3 linked regions of the Lonchura striata genome follow. The protein of the gene in region 1 interacts with the protein of each later gene in a pairwise test. Links are inferred from orthologs where the notes say so. Each region holds a gene or a part of one and is shown on either strand. Other genes may lie near its edges. The genes, in order: NDUFAF3, SNRPA and NDUFAF4.

The links.
Region 2: the proteins of NDUFAF3 (region 1) and SNRPA interact in binary tests that used the Homo sapiens proteins (3 or more experiments, as listed by UniProt). The two-hybrid records come from large-scale screens. The link is inferred for Lonchura striata from reciprocal best matches to the Homo sapiens genes NDUFAF3 and SNRPA.
Region 3: the proteins of NDUFAF3 (region 1) and NDUFAF4 interact in binary tests that used the Homo sapiens proteins (3 or more experiments, as listed by UniProt). The two-hybrid records come from large-scale screens. The link is inferred for Lonchura striata from reciprocal best matches to the Homo sapiens genes NDUFAF3 and NDUFAF4.

Annotation. Positions count from the first base shown.
Region 1 is NC_134614.1:15,583,352-15,590,028, reverse strand, and holds NDUFAF3 (NADH dehydrogenase [ubiquinone] 1 alpha subcomplex assembly factor 3), read left to right. Parts: upstream 1-4,821; 5' UTR 4,822-4,833; coding exon 4,834-4,883; intron 4,884-5,007; coding exon 5,008-5,200; intron 5,201-5,283; coding exon 5,284-5,350; intron 5,351-5,489; coding exon 5,490-5,590; intron 5,591-5,708; coding exon 5,709-5,801; 3' UTR 5,802-6,162; downstream 6,163-6,677. Other genes in the region: DALRD3 (DALR anticodon-binding domain-containing protein 3), read right to left, coding at 28-150, 248-306, 527-798, 880-1,169, 1,290-1,466. UniProt on the Homo sapiens protein: Essential factor for the assembly of mitochondrial NADH:ubiquinone oxidoreductase complex (complex I).
Region 2 is NC_134637.1:4,272,371-4,279,392, reverse strand, and holds the start of SNRPA (U1 small nuclear ribonucleoprotein A), read left to right. Parts: upstream 1-3,941; 5' UTR 3,942-4,031; exon of another isoform or gene 4,032-4,115; intron 4,116-5,065; 5' UTR 5,066-5,078; coding exon 5,079-5,151; intron 5,152-5,275; coding exon 5,276-5,448; intron 5,449-7,022. UniProt on the Homo sapiens protein: Component of the spliceosomal U1 snRNP, which is essential for recognition of the pre-mRNA 5' splice-site and the subsequent assembly of the spliceosome. U1 snRNP is the first snRNP to interact with pre-mRNA.
Region 3 is NC_134605.1:75,117,713-75,125,856, forward strand, and holds the start of NDUFAF4 (NADH dehydrogenase [ubiquinone] 1 alpha subcomplex assembly factor 4), read left to right. Parts: upstream 1-5,045; 5' UTR 5,046-5,070; coding exon 5,071-5,197; intron 5,198-5,668; coding exon 5,669-5,766; intron 5,767-7,919; coding exon 7,920-8,144. UniProt on the Homo sapiens protein: Involved in the assembly of mitochondrial NADH:ubiquinone oxidoreductase complex (complex I). May be involved in cell proliferation and survival of hormone-dependent tumor cells. May be a regulator of breast tumor cell invasion.

The sequences.
Region 1 (6,677 bases):
TCAGGGTCAGAGGTTGCTCTTGCTCACCTGCAAAGCTGTGTGGGCTCCTTGATCCAAAATCCTCCAGAGCACATCCAGCTGCTGCTGCTGGAATTCCTCCTCACAGTTCACCACATGCACGATGCTGCAGCAACTGCTCTGGCCTTTGGCCTGCAGCAGAGCACAACAGGGAGCTCAAACCTATTGCCTGGCAGAAAGGAAGGACACTTGGGAAGCAAGAGGCAAGCAGTACTGTGGGGTCACTCACTGGGCACTGCAGAACAGCTTCCTGCAGCTCAGCCAAGGCCCGCAGTGTCCTCTCTGTCACTAAAAGAAGGAGGGACACAAAATGGGACATGGAGTTCTCCACCTCCACCACTGGGTCTGCCCCAGGCTCAAACCAGACTGAAGGGGAACAGGAAGTGAAAGCCATTTGTATCCACCACCCCACCTCATTTTTGTTAAAAACACTTGAAAGGAAACAGGCCTATTTGCACCCATTCTAGCCCCGCTGCCACACCCGAGCTGTTGTACATGCGAAGCTCACCGAGAAGCACATCTAGATTGGGGTCGTAGCCCAACAAGCCCTGCTGCTCCACGAAGCTCTTCAGGTGCACCTTAAAGATGACACCCTCGGCTGTGCCCGGCCCCTGCTCACAGGCTGCGGCACAGGGGCACCGGCCCAGCACCGCCTTCAAGGCCGAGACGGCATCAGTGAGGGACGAGCCAGCGGAGCCGGAGGGCCAGGAGACGCGGAGCTGCCGCAGGACGTTCCAGCTCCTCTCCTCGCTGAGCGCAGGGACCAGGCGGACGTGGACCCTGCGACAGAGGGCGAGGCAGGCGCTGGGAGCGGCGGGCCCCGCGGCGAGGGGCCGGGAAGGACGGGATAAAGGCACTCACCCCTGGGCGCGCAGCAGCTGGGCCAGGTGGTCGGCCAGCAGGACGGAGCGCAGGTGGCGGGGCCGCGGGGCGGCGGGGCCGCGCAGGGCCGGGCAGTGCAGCACCACGCAGCCCGCCCGCGCCCCCGCCGCGGGAGGCGCCGGGCCGGGCAGCGGCCCCAGCAGGCGCCGGAAGGCCTCGGGGCGCCGCACCTGCACCGCCAGCCCCGCCGGCGTCTGCCGGCACACCCGCAGCGGCAGCACCGCCGGGCCCCGCAGCGACGGCACCGCCGACACGGCCTCGGGGGGCACCTGCGGGCGGAGAGGAGTCCGGGCTGCACGGGCACAGGGCAGCGGCGCCCCCGGCCTCACCCAACAGCTCCCGCAAATCCCCGCTCCCGAGCCAGCCCTGCCCGCGCCGCCCCGGCCTACCTGCCCGCCGGGAAAGGCGGCGCTCAGCGCGGCCCGCGGCGCCAGGAAATCCCGGTGGCGCAGGTTGCGGGCGCCGCTCTCCTTCACCCAGAGCGCGGCGGGCCGCCCCAGGGCCCCGTTCAGCGCCCGCAGCGTCGCCGCCACCCCCGGGCGGTTCTCGGCCATCTCCTCGCCCATGGCGGCACCGGAGGTGACGTCACGCCTCGCCCAGGAGGCCGCCATGTCGCGTGCGGCGCGCGGCGCTCCCGGGCGGCCATCTTGGTCACGGGCGCGCGGCCGGGCAGGGCGGCCATCTTGGGGGCCGGCGCGGAGCCACCATGGTGGGTGTGGCGGGCAGCGGCGCCGCCATGGCGGGTGTGTCAGGGCAGCACCATAGGGCTGCAACCAGGCACCCCGAATGGCCCCAGAGGGTGTCAGTCCGCTCAGCCTCGCCCAGCGGGGCCATGGTGTCATCCTCAGGTGTGCAGGAGTGGAATCCCCGCTTCTCCAAAACTGGGGAGCCCAGACCTAAAACCCTCAGGAGCAGAGCAGGAGCCAGAGGCCGTGCCGGGGTCAGAGAGGGCTGGGCAGAACCGGCTGCCCGGGGCAGGGAGTGCAGCGCAGCCGTGGGCATGGCCCACCACCCTGAACTGTGGTGGGAAGGGAGCTTTGGATGGGCTGGAGTGTGTGAGGCAGGCCACAGCTGTGGGCATGGTGTCACTTGGCAGACCCTGGCTGGCCAGTCCAGCCTGTCCACCATGAGCCCCAGGGCTTGGCTGGACTCTGACACAATGGCTGAGGAACCGCAGCAGCAGCCATGTGCCTGGCATGGCACAGCGATGAGCAGCTGCAGGTGCACACCCTGCAATGTTCTCCATGCCTGTCCCAGTGGGCTGCTCTCCTGTCCAGCACATGAGCAGTGTCCCGCTTATCAGCCCCAGGAAGAAGGAAGTGGAAGCGATTAGATCACGCCATCGTGGTCTTGATTACATCTGCAGAGCTGAGCTGCTCCACAGCAACGGTTCGAGCACGGATCTGACAGAAAGCTCACACTGCTGGCCAGCTCCCTGACAAGTGGCTGCTGAACTGGGGACAGGGCAAGGGCCCAGCACACCCCCAGCCCCAGGGCACCAAGCCTGATTGACAGGGAGCAGGAAGCACCAAACCCCACCACAACACAGAGCTAGGGACGTCCCTTTCTACCGTGCCCTTCCTGCCCTCCCCGTTAAGGCAGATGGGGGGGGTGGGGGGAAAGGAAGGAGCTCTGCCCGCAGGGCCCAAACCGGTTCCTCCAGGGCTTGTGTGCATGGGGGAAAAGGGGGGGGAGCAAGGCGAGGGCAGATCCTGCTGCATGGGCTCTTCCAGGAATGCAACAACTGACTTTGGGGCTCCTCAGGCAGCTGTGGAGCCCCAGGGCTGCAGCCCACAGGCAGTGAGAATCTGCAGCCCCAGGGCTGGAGTGAGAACATGTCCCCTAGCCGTGCCTTGGTGGGGTGCTCCCTGCACCACCCACAGCCAAGAGGTGATCTGAGAATTGCTGCTCACACCAGACCAACTGCTGACTGTCCGCAGGGCAGGAGCTGCCCAGAACCCCTGCCTGGCCAGAGGGACTTGCTGCACCTTTTGTCACTACTCAAGGTGGGTCCAGGCTGGATCCGTCCACGTCCCTGCAGGCTGCCCACGTGGGCCCTGGCAGCGCAGTGGCCTGGGGAGGGCTCTCGGAGGCGCCGAAAGAGCTTTGGAAAGACACGACATCCCCGATGGCTCTCTGGCTGCTGGCTCAGCGGGAGTGATCGTGTCATTCCAAAGCCATCTCTCTCCAGGGGCTGGATCCTGCCCACCCCTGCAGGCACTGGGGTGCTGCGAGGGCCGGCATGGGCAGGAAGTTTGGCAGTACCACATAGCCTGCACCACCGTGGTGCAGGGGACCACATCCACCCTGTGGCCAGGGAGCCATGCTCCCCGTACTCTCCCAGGAAGCCAGATCCTATTTTTAGCTGTTTGGGGCATATGAAAGAAGAGCCTCCTAGCTCGGTGCAGGAGCTGAGCCACGAGGCTGGACACCGGTGATCCTCCATCCTGACACCACCCTTCTTCCAGTGTGGCCCCAGGCGCTGCCCCAGCCCCGGGAGGGGTTGCAGTGGGACACGAGGCTCGGTGCGGGGCGAGGCGGTGGCGGGAGCGCGGGTAACGAAACCCCAGCGCAGCTGGGCACAGCGGGGACAGCTGCTTTTGGGATTCCGTTGCCCGCGCTGGCGCCGCGGAGCGATGGGCACAGGCACCACGGCCATGCCACCCCGACCCTGAGGCAGTCGGTGGGCCAAGAGGGGAGAGGGCGACTTACCGGCGGGGAGCGGGGCGGAGGAGATGCGTGGGAGCCACTGCCGGGCCGTTGTGATCGGGGGTGCCGGCAGAGACCGGGGTTGTGCTGCCGGCTCCCCCCGCGCCGCGGGCCGGGTGCCAATGGGAGGGCGGCACAGCCGAGCCAAAAGGAAACGGCTCCGAACAAAGCCCCGGTGGGGCTGGAGCAACTGGTGCCAGCCCATCGGCCCCCGACGGAGCCCGGAAACACGAGCCGGCCCCGAGGGAGGGCACCTGCCCCGGCACCTGCGCCCAGAGGCGGCACGGCCCGGTCCGGCCCCGCCGCCGCCGGCGAGGAGCCCTCGGCAACACCACGGGGGAATTCAAACCGCGTGGGGAACCCCACCGGCCCCACGGGGAGCTCCGCGCTGTTGCCCGGGGATCCCTGGGACCCTGCGCCGGCCAAGGCTGCCGGCTGTGGGAATTCCTGATGCCTCCAGCACGGCACGGTGGCGGGAAATGCTCTGCCGCCACTGCTGGGGAGCTTCCTGGTGGCCCCCGAACGTCAGGCTACGGCTGGCCCCGGGTGGGTGACACGGGTGGGGGCGCGGGTCCCTGTCCCACGGCGCTCTGAGCCCGCGGTGCTGCCGGCCTCACCGGGCGCGGCAGGAGGAGGGCTGAGGGTGCAGCTGGAGGTTCCGGCGGTGGCTCCGGGGGTCCAGCCCCGACTGGCAACAGCCGCCCGCAGTGGGGCACACGGGGACCCGGGGCGCCGTGCCGAGCCTGGGCAGCCCTGGGGCACCGGCGGGGCCGGGCCAGGAGCGCAGCCGAGACCCGGGCCCGCTCCCTCCCTCCCGGGGAGCCGCCCGCTCCCCTCTCACCTCCGGCCCCGCAGCCTTCGGCATAGCAGCCCGGGCCGGTCCACAGCCCCTCCCGGCGGCGGGGTCGGGGCGGCGGAGTCGGGGAGGCTCCAGCGGGACACCCCGCTCCCGCCGTGCCGCTCCCGCCCTGCCACCGGCCGCTTTCAGTTTCGCTCCGGCGCCCACCTGGGCTCTGCGGGTCGGAGGCGCCCGGGCGCGGAGGCAGCGGGTGTGTGAGTGTCGCTGCCCTCCCGTCCCTCAGGACCCCGGGCGGGGCACCCCGAGGGCTCCCCGGGAGCCCCGGTCCGGTCCCGCTCCCCCGGTGGCGCTGTCCCGACCCCGGCCGCCGGGGGGCGGTAGCGGCGGGGGCGGGGCCGCGCGGCGGTTCCGGCGGTGTCGCGGCCATGGCGGCGCTGCGGCGGCTCGTGCCGGCGGTCGGGCGGGCGGCGGCCAGGTACCGGCACCGTGCGACCGGCACCGGGCTGCCCTGCGACCGCGGGGAGCGCCTGTAGATGCCGTAGGGTGTTCGGGAGGTGTCCGTGGATCTCACGTGTCCCAGCTGCTCACTCTCCCCGCAGAGCGCCGTGCCGGGGTCACCGACTCACTCCGGCGGATGATGAGCTATACCAGCGGACGCGGGTGATGGTGCTGGAGCCGGAGTCCCCCAACATCATGTTCATCGAGAGCTACAGCACCCGCGGCTTCACCATCAGCGGAGACTTGGTGGTGGGGCCCTGCGCCGTCCTGCCCCGCAGCATCCTCCAGTGGAACGTGAGTGCCGGGCGGGGGGCGGGCGCTGCCGGTCGCCCCGAGCGCCGGGGCAGCGCCCCTGAGCGCCCGCCGTGTCCCCGCAGGTTGGCTCCCACCGGGACATCTCGCTCGAGAGTCTGTCGCTGTTCCGGCTGCTGGAGCCCCGGATAGGTACGCGGGGCGCGGGCTGCCCCCTTCGGGCTCCTGTCGAGGTGGCCGTGCGGGAGCCTCGGTACCTGCGGCAGGGCCAGGTCTGGGCCGAGGCAGCTCCGGTGCTGCCCTGCCCACCCTTCTCTTGCCCTGGTTGCAGAGATCCTGGTGCTGGGCACAGGGGACAGGGTGGAGCGGCTCCACCCCGCCACGCTGAAGCAGATGCGGGAGTGCGGGATTGCTGTGGAGGTGCAGGACACGGTAAGGGTGAGCCCAGGCAGCACCCCATTGAAAGGGAGGGGGTCATGTGCCGTGTGGGGAAGGGCCGAGTCTCCTTTCTGAGGGCCGGAGCTTCACTCACTCCCTTTTCTATTCACAGGCGAATGCATGTGCAACCTTCAACTTCCTAATGAATGAAAGGCGTGTGGTGGCTGCTGGGCTCATCCCCCCGCGGGGCACCTACGGAGTGTAGGCACTGCCGGCCATGCCCATGGGCTGAGTGGTTCTTCCCTGCCTGCCTGAAGCCCGCGAGGGTCACTGAGAAACGCTCCGTAGTGAACCGATGGCTCTGCACACAGGAGGGCTGTGAAATACACGGGCCTAGCTCTCTCCTGCAGTCCCTGGCTTCTTGGCCTCCCTGCCCGGTCTGGGTTGCAGACGGTGCGGCACAGCACAAGGCTTTGCTGGCAGCACTGGTCCCACAGCCCTGCCAAGGTCATGCCCCACACCTTGGCAAGAATCCTCACCTGAGGGAGGGTGAAGGCTGGTGGGGTGAGCTGTACATCCCCACGCACATCTGGAGGAAAATACATGTAAATGGGAAGTCCAAGAAATTGTGTGGTGGTTAATGCACTGCACATTGAGGCTGTAACAAATTGATGGGACATGTGCTCACCTTGGGCACTGGGCAGCACGTGTGGTGGTGGGATGCCATGTGCCAGCAGCTTCCTGAGCACAGCCAGCACCAGCAACTAGTGTGTCCCAGCTGGTGCTGGCCCGGCTTGGGCTCTCCAGTGGAGCTTTGTACTGCCCCAGCACAGATATCCCTTGGGCAGTGTTGGTCCAAGGGTGCTGCACCCCCTTTCACTGAAGGCTCAGACTCCAGCAGGGGACTTGGAAAGGGTCCCTGTCCTGAACTGGATGATTCATAATTGGGGATGTCATCCCTGGGGAAGAGAGTACATGTACCTAATGGCAGCTTCATGGCCTGAACTCTGCCACTTTGGCAGACTAAGGCAGGGGATGCAGCTGAAAGGTTAGGGTGGCTTTGCTTAGCAAGGTTCTTCATGAGTGTGTGGTATCAATACCATGACATTATAGTCAGGCTCTGGTTTTAGTGTATAAATCA
Region 2 (7,022 bases), on another chromosome or scaffold:
GGTGACAGATTTTGGCATGTTATTGTAAATCCAGCCCAGGGAGTTTCTGGTATTTAATGTTTGTAACATCCCACTGAGGGCAGAGCCCCACACGCTGCCCTGCAGGACAGAGCTGGGCAGGGCAGCAGAACATGTTAGAGATAAACAGAATAAACAACCTTGAAACCAGCACAGACCAATTATGGCTTCTTCTTTGGCAGCAGGGCTGAGAGACAGAGACTTTCTACTATCTCAGAATCATCAATAACTCAGATTCCAACAGAGAGAGAAACAGAGCAGGCAAAGAGAGGTGGGAGAGAAAGGAGGACACAAACATAATCAGCTGGGAAGGTGGCACTCTGCAAACAGAACTGCAACAGACTGAAAATGAATGGGAAAGAAATCACTAACTCTGAAAGTTTTATTTACTATCAAATACATCCCACCCACTCAGCCCCACACAATCCAGATCCACTGCTCCAAATTTGGATCCCACTTCTCCCAGTCTCCTTCCAACCCCATCTCACTCTGGCAGTTGTGGAATCGAGTTTGGAGTGGGACTGAGTTTTTTGAGGTGGGAACAAGCCATTTTGAGGGGGGATTGAGCCCTTATGGATTAGAATTCAGTTGTTTTCAGTGGGATTGAGTTGTTTTGAGGTGAAGACTGATCTCTCTTGGTTTCTGCAGTGCAAAGAGATGAAGAACACTGCCCAAAACCCTCCCAGAACCCCAAATCCTCCAGAATATGTCTCTAAATCCTAAATTCCCTCTCAAACAACTGTGAAATGGTGGGACTTCAGACATCATTGATCAATTTCTTTCTTTTCAGGCCTGTTTTGGCTGATGGAGTTGAGTCAGAAGAAAATGAAGGTCAAAACAAAAGAACAACCAGCTAGGTGCCTTCCCAATATGGATCACAAGGGAATGTGGGTCACCAGATCTCTTCCCAACAAGGGTCCTTCAATGGGGGATGGAGTTGGAGCAGCACACAAAGCTCTTCTCTCAGTCAGGGCACTCACAGAGCCTCCCTCACCGATGGCTCCGTTGGTGCTGGGTCAAAGTTGAGTTCTATGAGAAGCTCTTCTCACATTGTGGACTCTGATAGGGCTTCTCCCCAGTATGGGCACACTGGTGCGTGGTAAGGGTGGAGTTGTGCTTGAATCCCTTCCCACAGTCGGGGAAGCAGAAGGGCCTCTCCTCTGTGTGAATCCACTGGTGGTTAATGAGGGTGAAATTGTACATGGATCCCTTCCCACAGTCTGGACAGCAAAAGAGCCTCTCCTCTGTGTGAAACCGATGGTGCAGGAGGAGATGTGATCTGATCTGAAACCCCTTCCCACACTCTGAACACTTGTATGGCCTCAAAACCTAAGGAGTTACGGCTCACAAAACCTAAAGAGTTACGGCTTCCTTATCAGAAAAGACATTCTTCCACCTCCGCTCCATCCCTATGGAACCACCAGGATTAAGGGGAAGAAGTTGACAAAAACCAGAAAAATTCTTAATTTGCAAGGAATTTATGTATCATGTATGAGATATATGAATATGCAACAGGCTATTGCTTTTAAGGTTATTCCTTTGTTCGCAAGGCATGCTTTTCGTGACCTAGTGTCCGAGAGCATGCAGATGTCCGCAATTCTTTGCTTTTTATTGTCTCATAGTGTCCTAATCCTATTTTTATTACACTAATTACTCTAGTCCAAATTTTTATTACTCCAATCTTATTACTATTTTTTATAAGATTCAAAAAAACAAGTGATTGGTGTTTTTCAACTGCAAGTACCTGGTTCTGCCTAAAATGACCCAAATGTGCCTAAATCCACCCTAAAATCCACCTAGTTTTTACTAAAATCATCCAAACATGCCTGAAACCAATACAAGAGGACCTAAAGTCACCCTAAAATGCTTGGTTCGATCTAAAATTAACCAAAGAAGCCAGAAATCTACCCAAATGGGCCCAAAATCACCAAAACAAGGGACGTAAAACCAACCAAACAGGATTAAGATTCACCCATATGGGCCTAAAATCAGCCAAAGGGATCTAAAATCCCCCATAAAACTCACCAGATTCAGCCTAAAATCAGCCAAAGGGGCCTAAAATCCAAGCTAAAAGGCTTGGAATCACTGCAAGGGATCTGAAACCCACCCTAAATCTGCCCAGATTGGCCTAAAATCTCCCAAATGGGCCAAGACTGAGGATGACACTGGTATCAGCTCCGAGATCCCTCTGGGACTGGCACCAGGATTGGAACTGGGCACGCTCTGGGATCGGCTCCGGGATTGCTCAGGGACCTCTGCATTTGGCCGTGCCCCTGGATGGGACTGGGCTGAGACTGGAAGGGATCAGGGCTTTGGGGACTTTGGGCTTTTCTGGGCTTTGGGGAAATTTGGTGGGAGTTTAGGGGGAATCATTGCATTTTTTGACGAAAATGATAGGGTTTTGGGGGAGTTGCAGAATTTTGGGGGATTTTGTAGATTTTGGGGGGTTTTATTGGTGCTTTGGGACGGTTGTTTTTCTGGAGGTGTTTGAGGGTTTCTTGAAATTTTTTGGCTTTTTGAAAAATTTTGGCAATTTTGTTCAATTCCCTGGAATTTCTGGTAGTTTTATTTGGAGTTTTAGGGGTTTTGGAGTAATTTGGTTGGAATCTGGGGGGCATTTAGTGGGATTCTTTGAGGGCTTGGGATTTTGGGGAGGTTTTTTTTGGGGTTTTTGGGTGTCCTGTACCAGAATTTCTTTGGGTCATGGGGGGATTTTGTGGGACTTTTTGTGGTTTTGGAGACATTTTTGGGCGGATTTGTGTGGTTTAATTATTGAGGGGTTTTTGGGACTTCAATAGATTTTTGTGGGCTTTTTTTGAAATTCTAAGGTATTCTAATGGGATTTTGTGAGATTTAATTGGGATTTTGTGGGTTTTATTGGGACTTTTGGGGGTTTTAAGGAGATTTTGGTGCTTGTCAGCCCTTTCCCACACCCAGGGACAACCCCAAAGCCCCCCAAAATTCCACTAAAAAACCCCCAAAATTCCCTAAAAATCCCAATAAAACCCTCCAAAATTCCAAAGAATCCCAGTGAAACCCACCAAAATTTAAAAAAACTCAAAAAATTTCAGTAAACCCCCCCAAAAACCCGCCAAAACTCCAATAAAATCCCCCAAAATCCAAAACCCCCCAAAATCTTGTAACACCCCAAAAGCCAATAACTCTCTTCAAAAACCTAATAATTCCCCCTAAACTCTCAACAAAATCCCTAAAAGCCAAAAAAAAGCCTCCCCAAAATCCCTCTCAAACTTCTCCCCAAAATTCCCCCAGACTCACTGGGGGCCGTCCTGGATGAGGGGGCACCGGCTGGTGGAACAGGAGCCACTTCAGGGGGATGCTTCAGGAACCACTTTTTGGGGAGACAGCATGATGGGAGACCCCCAAAAACGGGGCGGGGGGAACCCCTGTTGTGCCCCCTCCCCCTGAAACCCCCAGACCCCGGTTCAGCCTGGGCCTGGGACTCCCCGGGACCCCAAATCTTCCCCAGGAACCCCAACCCCCCCCGAGCCCCCCTCAAGGTTGGCCCAGGATCACCCTGGACCCCCAAAACCCCGCCAGGAGCTCCAGATCCCCCCAGCACCCCCTTGAGAACTCCCAGATCCCAATCGGGCCCAGCCCAGGATGTCCCCTGAGACTCCCCAGACGCTTCCCAAGACCCCTCCCCCACGGTCCCCTCTTAGGACCCTCATCCCCCATTCCCCCACCTGTCCCGGCCCCTCCGCAGCTCCCGCAGCTCCGGCCTCTCCCAGCGCCTCCCGCAGGACCCGCCCGAGCCCGGGGCGCCCGGGGCCACCGGGCTCATGCCCGGCCCTGGGGTCAGGGGACGCCATTTCCGTCTCGCCTCTGATTGGCTGCAGCGGCGCGGGGGAGGCGGGCGTAACTGAGGGAACCCGCACGGTGATTGGTTAGTTCGGGGCAGGTCACGCCGCTATTGGCTGGAGGGGGGCCCGCGCACGCGGCGGCGGTAGATCGTGCGGGGAGAGCGGCTGAGGAGGGAGGCCAGTTGGGGGCCTGTGAGGAATGGAGGGGTCGGAGGTGGCTTTAGAGGGAAATGGGAAGGGGCTGAGGCGGGTCTGAGGGGAAGTGAGGGTTCTGAGGTACGTGCGGGACGCATTTGGGGGATATTGGGCGGCTTTGAGGGTTTTTTGCGCGGTCTGAGGGGATAATTAGGGGGATCTCAGGTTGGTCCGGCGGGAAACTGGAGGAAAAATGGGGGTGTCTGAGCTGTGTCGGGAATGGGTTTGGGAGGAATTGCGGTGGTTTGAGGGACTTTTGTGGGGTGTGAGGTGGATCTAGGGCGAACGGGAAGGGAATTGGGGAGATTTGAGGGGGGTTTGAGCGGAACTGACGGCGTTTGAGGTGGGTATGAGAGGAATTGAGTCCGAGGCAGTTTCGGAGAGCATTGAGCGGGTTTGAGGGGTTTTTGCGGAGTCTGAGAGGGATTTGAGTGGAAATGGGGGCTTCTGAAGTGGATATGAGCGGAATTGAGTGGTCCGACGTGGGTCTGGGGCGGATTTGGGGGGAATTGGAGTGGTTTGAGTAGTTTTTGCGGGGTCTGAAGTGGATTTGGGGGGAAATGAGGGCGAAGGGGGCTCTGAGGTGGGTCGGGGGGGAAATGGGGGGATCTGAAGTTGGTTGGGGAGGTCTGAGATGTGTCTGAGGAGAAATGGGGGATTTTGAGAGGAAATAGGGGGATCTGAGGTCACTTTGGGGGGAATGAGGGAGTCTGAGGGGGCTTGGGGAGGAGCTTGAGAGGGTCTGGAGGGTTCTGAGATGGTTTTAGGGGTGTCTGAGGGGAATTGGGGGATATGGGGGGTTCTGAGGTGGGTCTAGGGGCAATTTGGCGGGGGTCTTAGGTGGCTCTGAGGAGGTTTTGTGGAGTCCCAGGTGGGTCTGGGTCAATTTGGGAGGGGGTCTGAGGGTGATTAGGTGGAGGTATAGGTGGGTCTGGGGTGGATTTGGGTGTTTGGGGTACCAAAAGGGAGGTCCCAGGGGGTGAAGGGGTCGCAGCCCCCAGACGCCCCCTGAAGCCCCCCTGTCCCCACAGAGAGGTCCCAGCCATGGCGGTGCAGGATCCCCGGCCCAACCACACCATCTACATCAACAACCTGAACGAGAAGATCAAGAAGGACGGTGGGGGGGGGCTGGGGGGTCTGAGAGTGTCCCTGGGTGTCCCCAGGGGCTCAGGCTGTCCTCTGGGTGTCCCTGCTGTCACCATGCTGTCCCCATTGTCACTATACTCTCTCTCTGTCCCCAGAGCTGAAGAAGTCCCTCTACGCCATTTTTTCCCAGTTTGGGCAGATTTTGGACATTTTGGTGTCGCGCAGTCTCCGCATGAGGGGCCAGGCCTTCGTCATCTTCAAGGAGATGAGCAGCGCCACCAATGCCCTGCGCTCCATGCAGGGCTTCCCCTTCTACGACAAACCTATGGTGAGACAGAGATTGGGGAAAAATTCTGAAATTTTGGGAAAAGACTGGAAAAACCACCATAATCTGGCCTCAAATATCCCCAAAATCCAATTTGTAATCTCTCCAAATTCACCCTGACCACCCCAAAGCTTCCCCGTCTATGACACATCCATGGTGAAACAGAAATCCTAGGGGAAAACACAGGGAATATGGGAAAAAATCCTGGAATTCTGGAAAAAAACTGAATTCCTTGGAAAAAAAACCCCAAATCCAACTGGAAATTTACAGAAAATCCCCTGGGAACACTCTCAAATCAAACTAAGAATCAAAGCTTCCTGTCTATAACAAGCCTACAGTGGGGCAGAAACCTGGGGAAAAAAATCTGACATTTTGAGGAAAAACTGGAATTCTGGAAAAAAACTCTGAAATTCTGGGGAAAAAAGGCAAAAATCTGGCCTCAAATATCCCCAGAATCCAACCTGTAATTGTCCAAATTCACCCTGAACACCCCAAAGCTTCCTCTTCTATGAGAAGCCCATGGTGAGACCCAAATTCAAGGGAAAATCCTGACATTTTGTGGAAAATCCTGAATTCTTGGGGGAAAAAAACACCAAAATTCAGCTTCAGATATCCCCAAAATCCAACCAGGAACACCCCTGGAACTTCTTGTTTCATGACAAGTTTATGATGAGAGAGAAATTCTGGTGAAAAATACTCAAATTATGGGAAAAATCCTCAAACTTTGTGGAAAAAACCTGAATTTCTGTGGAAAAAAAAAAAAAAAAAAATCCAGCCTCAGATATCCCCAAAATCCCACAAAAAACAGACAAACAAAACCAACCAACCAAACAAACAAACCAAAAAAACCCAAAACCAAACCAAATCCAACCAGAAATGCACCAAAATCAAACCACGAGCTGCCCCAAAGAAGAAAATCCCAGGAAAAACCCCAGAATTCCAGGAAAAGCCCTAAAATCCAGCCAGGAATTCCCAAAGCTTTCCCTTCTATGACGAACCTCTGGTGAAATCTCAAATTCAACCTGGAAGCCCTAAAAATCCATTGGAAACCCCCAAATCCCTCTTGGAGCTACTCCAAAATCTCTCTTGAATTCCCTCAAATCCCTCAGAAACTCCCAAATCCCCCCTAAATTTCTTTGAATTCCCTCAAAATCTCTTAGAAATTCCTAGATCCTTGCTAGGACTTCCTGAAATGCCTCCAAATTCCTCTTGGAGCTCCCCCAAACACCATCAGAAAATCCCCAAAGCCTTTCTGGAACCTTTCCCAAATCCCTCAGAACCCTTGAAAATTCCTTGGAAAGCCCCAAAATCCCTCTTGGAACTCCCCAGAATCCCCTCTAAATTCTCCCCCTATCCCTCTGAAATATGCAAAATTCTTCCTAGGACTTCGCAAAGTTCCTTGAAAATCACAAAATCCCTCTTTGAACTTCCCCAAATCCCTTGGAAAATGCCAAAGTCCCTCTTGGAACTCCTCCATATCCCTTAGAACTCTCTTCAAAATCCCTTGTAAAGCCCCAAATCCTCCCCAGATCCTCCCCAAAATCCTCAGGAAGAACCCCAAAACCACCTGAACCATC
Region 3 (8,144 bases), on another chromosome or scaffold:
AATTCCTTGAATATTTGTAAAGAATCCTTTGCATGTGTCAGGCAGATTTTTAGCTACTGCATCTAAAAACACAGGTATAGGACATGGACTCAAATGCTACTTACCCAGCATAACACTGATTAAGCCACTGAGCTATTAAAGCACACTGTAACTTCTCCAGCTTCTTAAGATCTATATATAAGCCTTCTTTAGGACTGAGATATATATAAAATGGTTTTAGAAGTGTTCACTGAGGTCATTTTGGCTTTCCTATTCTACACAAAATTTGGCCCCCCATAGGTAAACAAAATACTTCATTTTTTTTATGTAATTCACACCTGCAAATACCCTATTTGTAAATTGCAGAAGAATGCAATCAAAGTGTAAAATTAATAAATAAAACTGGTTCTCCAACTACGTACAAAACCATGGAAAATCAATCCCTTGATACATCAAGTCCCAGATAATACAACTAAATTATAAAGTTATGTATACAAAAATGCATCACACTGGTATAAATATGTATGTGTCATCATAAATTAAAACCATAGAGAGAGATTAAAATATCATTTGGGGATGGAAAGATATTACATTATTGTAGAAGAGCCTCTTGCCAGCACACTTAGGTTATATATTTATTATTTTTCATGTGTTATATTTCATAAAAGAAACCCCAGCAGATAGCTAATATTCTGAATCCATTCACCAACTCTATTCCTGACTATCAGAGAGCTACTGCAGTGGCAGTGAACTAAAATCATGGCTACTGTTACTGCCTCAAGTCAGTACAAAGGATGTTGTTTGTCTTGGGTGATGTTGGAGCACCAGCAAAGCTACCCCAAAGCCAGCCCAAGATGAGCCAGTCACCTCTCCACTCCATCCAGCCTCTTCCCATTGCTGGTTCACCTCCTCCTACTCACTGGAGCTGGCACAGTTCTTTCTGCCACTGCTGCAGAGAAACAATCTGGGAACAAAGTGCTAACTCTCACAAACCAACCAACCTGGCAGCAGTATCAGTTCACATTATTCACTCCTCCTGTCACATGCCTTTTTTTTTCCTCCTGTGTTTCCAGTAGCTTTCTGTGGACCAGCCAAACCATCGGTGATTGATAGAGCTTAGAAGAGTTAGGAGAGCTCTTCTCTTTCTTAAATCAGACCATCTGTGTGATGCTGTTTGCTCTGGGGATGTTCCTACATCCTGACACTGGCAAGAAGGATGAACTGAAACCAGAGTTACGAGAAATAATAGGGCTGTCAGTTGTCTCAACTAATATTGCAACTGAGAAGAGAACATGGGGTGCTGAAACCTGTGAGTAAAAATTCAGTAAAAAGGCATGTGTAACTGATGAAATTAATTAATTCCAGTATCAGGCTGCCTCATTCTCAAATATGCTGTCTCCTACTGTGCATTTCCAAGTCAAAGTAACCTGCTAATTGAGAAACAACATACAGGAAAAATATGGAAGATTATGTCAGGTATCAAGCCACAGTCCATCAGGAAAATTTAAATGCCATGTCTTTGAAATTAGTATTATCTGACAAGGAGCTGGTGATCTGTCTGGGCTGGTGTGTGAGTCTGTAACACTGAGCTTGCTGCACTTGCTATAAACTTCATCCACATAAGGACTTGACAAAAACTCCTTTAAATAAAGCACTGCAGCCACCTAGCCTTGAAAATATGCAAGTGTTCGGGAACATTGATCACAGACTGGAATTAAGCAAAATCCTTCAACGTAGATCCTTCTGTAGATACTTCAGAGGCCAGTAAAAGATGGATCAGTTGAAACCAATAATAGAGAAATAATCTGAATTAAGTAACAGAACAACCAAAAATCACTGAAAGGTGAAAGTGATCCATCAGTAAGTCCATCTCTCTTGAGTTCATCTTTACAAGGTTGCAGGACAGTCATTTTTACTTGGCTCATAATCAATTCTTGCTAATGCTGTGTTCTCTGGTTCTGCCTAACACTGATGAGGTAAGGAATAAAAGGATCAATGCTCTCATTGTGCTTACTGGTAAACCAGTAATCTGGATAGAGGACTCAGTTCCCTGAATCCTAATGATATAAGAATTTGCTCAAGTATCCATTTAGACTGACATCAATTATGAACAAACAACAACAGAAAGATGAGAATAGGAAAACAGTTTCAGTGGTAGAAAATGTGGACAGAATCAAATACAAACCTCTAATGCTGCTGTATAAAAGCATTCCTCATTTTCCTCTGTGGTTGACTGCTGTGCCATTCCCAGACCTCAAATCACAAAGCAAACCTCACCTGCCTCCTCTCCAAAATTCTCCAGCTGAGCAACTATTACCAAAAAATGGCTCTTATTTCACTGAAATTACCTGCCCATCTGGACTCATATTCTGATTCCTGATCTTTTGAGTAGTAAAGACAGCAAAGAAACTTTAGTAGTACCCACCCACACAGTAACACAAGTTAATGACAGGCTATTCTCCCTTCTCTAAAGCAAATTTTCAATAGGTCAATCAGACTTTTGATGCTAGTTAAATACAAAAATTAATTTTTCATTTTCCACTCAGTGATAGAACTAGCTGAGAAAGAAACAGTACACACAACACATAATCAAAATTGAGATGGAAAACAAATAGATTCAAAGAACAGTCACAAATGTACTTCTTACTTTCCAGGCACCCAGTAGCTTTAGAAATTTCTCTCTTAAGAGGTATGGAAGGATTACAAGGAGATCTAGTGTGGCAGCCTATGGCACACATATATCATGAGAGTTACAGTATTTTTCTCTGATGTGCTGTCCGGTGTTCAGAACAGGCTGCTACGAAAACTTTTTGAGAATACGTGTGTATGAATCCAGCTGGATAGTCTTCTCATGGGCTGTTTTGTTATTTTTGAATTCCCTGGAAAGACTCAGACTCCTTGTTCAAGAAAAATGCATCCCATTTGAAACTCTGTCTAAGATGAATACACATACATTCATTTTTTAATAATCACACTTGCAGATATCTATATGCTTTATATGGAAAACTATCCAACCTCTTGATTACTGATATTTAATATCAATATAGTCACATTGGTAAAATACCAAATTATATTAAAAATATTGTTTTCAATCTCTATTCTTCTGCTTGCTACAGTCTAAGAAACATTCTTCAGAATAAAAATCTTGAACTTTTGATGCATCTTTATACATGAAAAGAACAGCTTTGTGCTATCCTCAGTCGTAGGAAGTGACAGGCAGAGCATGACATCACTCTTTATTTTTAACTGACTGCTTTCTGGTGAATTTATTTTGCTGCCAGTACATATTACAGCAGTGTTAATCACATTCATGCTTTATCAAGACAGAAGCCCTGTGCTCTGTTTGGTTCTACAAGCTGGGAGTTCTTAGCTTTTGGAGGAGAAACTTTGTTTCAAATTTGCCACAATAGCTGATCCACAGATGGATCAGTAAGAATACAAATGCTAAAGTACCTGTGAAAGGTCTACAACTACCAAAGGCATCCACGGGGATTTTTGCATTACAGCCACACCACACAGATTCACCACTCACAAAAGTATCAAATCCTGGACTTAAGAACACAGGTTTAGTCAGCAAGTAATTGACTACAGATATTTAATTAAACTTGTCACCTGACTTCAGCAGATTTTAAGTTTCCAATTATCACTGTATCACTAGTCTCCTTAATTCATTCACATGCAATATCAAAAATAAGACAAGGTCAGTAAGCTTATTACCAGAGAACAAAAACATGTTTCTGTTCTCCTACAGACTGTGAGAATCTTTAAAATAAACAAATGGAGAAACTGCATCTTCCTGATTCCCAAAGAGAGCAGATATCCAGCATACACCACCATGTTTATCCTGCCTTGTTTCCACTGCCTTTCTAAATCAATTTGGCTTCTCTCTAAGGAAAACACAGCCATTCATTAATCCAGCATTAAAGCACACTGCAGCCTTGAAACTATCACATCATAATTATTATTACTAAACAATGCTATTAATAGAAGACCAAGTTCTGAACCCCAGGTTTTATATGCCCACAATAATAAGAAACACTAGGTAGATGAGGTAGATGCAAGGGCAGAAAAAAAGGTGTTTCCCACCAAAAAACAAACAAACAAAACATCCACCAAAAAAAAAAAAAACCACACACAAAAAGAAACCCCCAAAAACTACAAGAATGCTGGTCTTTTCAGTGTTCTTCATTAAATTCATTGAAAGTCCCACTTCAAGTCACTTCATTCAGGCAACTACTATCATGAACTAATTGGTGGCCCAGAAGGCACTAAGACTCTGCAAACAGCACATACAAAATTTAAAGCCATAAGGGAATTATTTGTTGGCTAATTCACACAGCAGCTGGAACAAACAAGTCATTAATCTCTCTTGGTAAGACACCTTATCAGTCGTGGCTGAATAAAGTAGTCAACCCTCAGGCTTTACTGCTTCTTGAATCAGGCCAGTAGCTCTTACTCTTTCTGCCTCCCTTTCTCTAAGGATTCTGTATATTTTCACACACTTCTTGAATCTATGAAATGACTCCCATCTCAACAATTTTGATTCTGTCGACAAATTTACCTTTCTTAACATACACGGCTTAAGGCCTTCTCAACATTTTGTCACAATTAGTTTTCACAATTTTTGCAAAGTCAGAAGAAAGTTTATTTGGTCGAGCTGCAAAAAGAGGGTCTGCACCCTGAAAGCGTTGTGTAGCCCACAAATTCCCAACACTACTGGGGAATTGTCCCTCGCTGCCGCTCCGACCCGTGCCTATCGCCGCCGATATACAAACAGCCACAGTCACGCCATGGCGTGTCCGGGGGCTCCGCCTGCAAAGGAAAGCGTGCGGCAGCCACAGCTCGCACTTCGCGAGCATTCCCGGCGGGAGCCGCCCGGGCCGGGCTCGGCTCACGCCCGCCTTTAGGAAAGGCACGGCAGGACCGCCGCCGCTTGTCTGTTCGCTCGCTTGTCTGTTCGCTCGTCTGTCTGTCTGCTCGCTTGTCTGCTCGCTTGTCTGTTCGTGTGCCCGCAGCACTCGGTTCATTCCCTTCCGGTGCACACCGCCCCTGCCCGGCGTGCCCCGCGCGCAGGCGCGGCTGGCGGCGGCGATGGGCGGGCGGGTGACCCGCGTGTTCCGGAATTTCAACGTGGAGAACCGGGCCCGCCGCGAGATCAGCAAGGAGAAGCCCACGGCAGCGCCGCGGCACCGCACCGCCCGGCTGGACGCCACGGCCGGTGAGTGCCGGCGGCGCCCGCCCGGTGCGGCGGCGCTGACATTGAGAGCGGCGCGGGCGCGCGGGGCATGCCGGGAGCGGGGCGGGGACGGCGGCAGCAGCGTGAGGGGCTGAGGGAGCGCCCGGGAGCGCTGGGGGACGGCAGCGGGGGCCGCTCGGTGGAGGTGGTTGAGGGGACGGGACCCGGGGGAAGTGGTGGGGCGGTGGGATGGCGGTACCGAGCGTGTGGGTGCCGTGTCCCGCCGTGCTGTGACCGGTGACCGGCCCAGCCGGACCGTGCGAAGCCGAGTCGCTAAGGTCAGGGCTGTGGGAGCAATGGCACCCTCCCAAGAAGGCAGGTGCGTTTGCGGGAGCCGTGCCGTGCCGCTGGGGAAGCGATGAGCTGGCAGAACTAACAAAAAGGAGACTCTTTCACTCAGATCAATCGTTTCTTCTTTTTTTCCTTCCCTTCCCTTCTTCTCACTGCCTTTAGATAGCCCAGAGATAAAAGAAGAAGTTCTCAGAAAGGACGATAGGTTCCTCACCTTGCTCAAAGATGTTTATGTCGAGTCCAGAGATCCACCGGTGCAGGTGAGTGCATCTCTCTACGACCCATACCAACATCAGCTTTGTGGTCTTCAAACTCAGCACAAAGGCTGTGTCAAGAAAAATGCTCTCTGTGCATAAAAGTTATCTTTTTTCAATAGATAAAAGTGGTATTTTTATTACTCTTCTATACATCAGTAACATTGAGTGTGTCTGACCCTGGGTTTTGAATGTGTGACAGATTGTAATTATACAAGCTTGTAAATGCAGACACAGTCTTCTTTTTTAGTATTGCGTTGATCTTACTGTTCTTCACCTAAATTCCTTTTTCTGCTTCCTATGAGGCAAGATACATCTCAAGCCTTTTGCAAAGATAAAGTAGTTTGCCAGAAATCATTTGTGGAGTTAGAAGAGACTGGGACTGCTAGGGAGCAGGGATGTGGTAGAGGACAAAGATGTTTACGCTTTAATGGAGTCTTTAACTCCTTTAAATATTGTACAGTGCAGAGACTTTTTTTTTTATCCAATTCATGAAGTGCCTTAGGTTTTTTTCCTACAATATCTTGTGGGTTGTGTGGTCATCATTTCCTTATTGCCACTGGCTGCAATCTTTTACTTTTACTTGAAAGCTAAAGCATATTCCTTCATAAAATGCAGACTGGGGCTCAGTGTCCTCTTTTCCATCATATTTTGCTATGGTTTGTGTATTTTAACTGTTTCATTATTGGACCACTTTATTCCAGCTGATTTATTCAGCAGTAAAATTTTTATGGTCATCTAGCAAAATTCCTAAGTCTCTCTAATTTGCCACTTATATGGTATTCAAGTCCAAAAATATTTAAAATGCAAATAGATTTTCTCAGTCTCTTCCTGAAATTTTCAAGAAATCTCTATCCTTAATTTCCATCACAGAGGTTAGGACTCTAATCTTGAAGTGCTGAAGTTCTAATTTCAGTATCTTTCAATATTCATGTATAAGCCTGTCAAGAGAGATTTGAGAAAAAGCCCAAAGTGGAGCAAATCTTTGCTTGATTCTATGCCTTCTCGGAGTTTACTGCCACAGACTTGCCATTGTGCTGTGTCTGCTTGCAGTTTTTAGAGCACAACTGAAGTGTAATCACAGAGACTTGTGGACAAAGCAATACAAAAGCTTTCTCCCATTCCTGATGTTATCCTGATGACTTTGTGCATTGTGTACGTGATGTGTACACACCTCTGTGTGTGTTTGGGGTGTCTGCCTATGGTAAGTGGAAAAACACCAGCTTGGGAGCCCTGAAGTGGCAGATTCCCAGAGACAGATGATCTTATTTAGAGTTGAAAAATCATTCATTATCCAAGCACAGTTTTAGCAAAAAGTAGAAGACATGGAGTGCAGGCCAGACATTCCTTGTAGCTCAGAAACAGACACACACAGGTGCTGTAATATCCACATCAGTCTTCTCAGCAACTGAGTTAATACGGAGTGTCTGTGTAATAATTAGTGGCTGTGGGCTCTGATTACTATATAAATACTTCTAAGTTTAAGAAAGGTTTAATTGTGCCTTTTTTTTTCAGTGTGATTCACTGATTAAATGTTACTTAAAGGAAATATGAGGAAGTGAAAGCTGTTTTGGAGATTATTTGGAAATATGAAGGAACCTTAGAGAAGACAGTTTGTGTGTCTACATGTTGCAGTAGTCATGGCAATTAAATTCCATATGATGCTGCAAAATAGCAGGAAAGCTTGTTCTCTAGACAGAGCAAAAGAAGGAATTTCTTTTAGTAGGAAAACTAAAATTTGGAAACAAAAGGAAAGGGAGAGAGACTACATGAAAAAGTTTTCCAGTGGTATCAGAAGGATACCAATTTGTTGTATGATTTTTTTGTCCCTTCCAGTGAATCAGTAGCGAATATTAGGCTATCTGGATTTACATTTGCCTACCAGAATCTGTAGTCTGCCTTGCATAAAGGGCTGCCAAGCCAATACAACGCTTAGAGTGCAGTGAAGAGAGGCTTTTCAGCATTTAGTTGGGAGTTGACACTCTATGTGGAATGGCTGTGAAAGAAGCTAGGCAGGCTAATCTGTTTTTAAAAAAATAGGGAAAGCTAACAGGAAAAGCTAAACAGAAAAAATATTTACGAAAGCAGTTTAGGTGCTACAGTATGCATAGTAAACAGAACTGCTGTTGAGCTCTTTTTGTTTTCCTTCCCTCGATTAGGTAAAAGATGGAGGTGGTGAACATCTTCCAAGTAAACAGGAAGAAAAGAGACTGACAAAATTAGGCCACTTGGAAGGTCTAGATGTTAAGAAAGTTCCTAAAGGCAAAATTTCCCTTGTGGAGGCTCTGACACTTCTTAATAATCATAAACTTCAACCTCAAATATGGACTGCGGAGAAAATAGCAGCAGAATATAGTCTGGAACTGAAGGAGGTCAACTCTCTT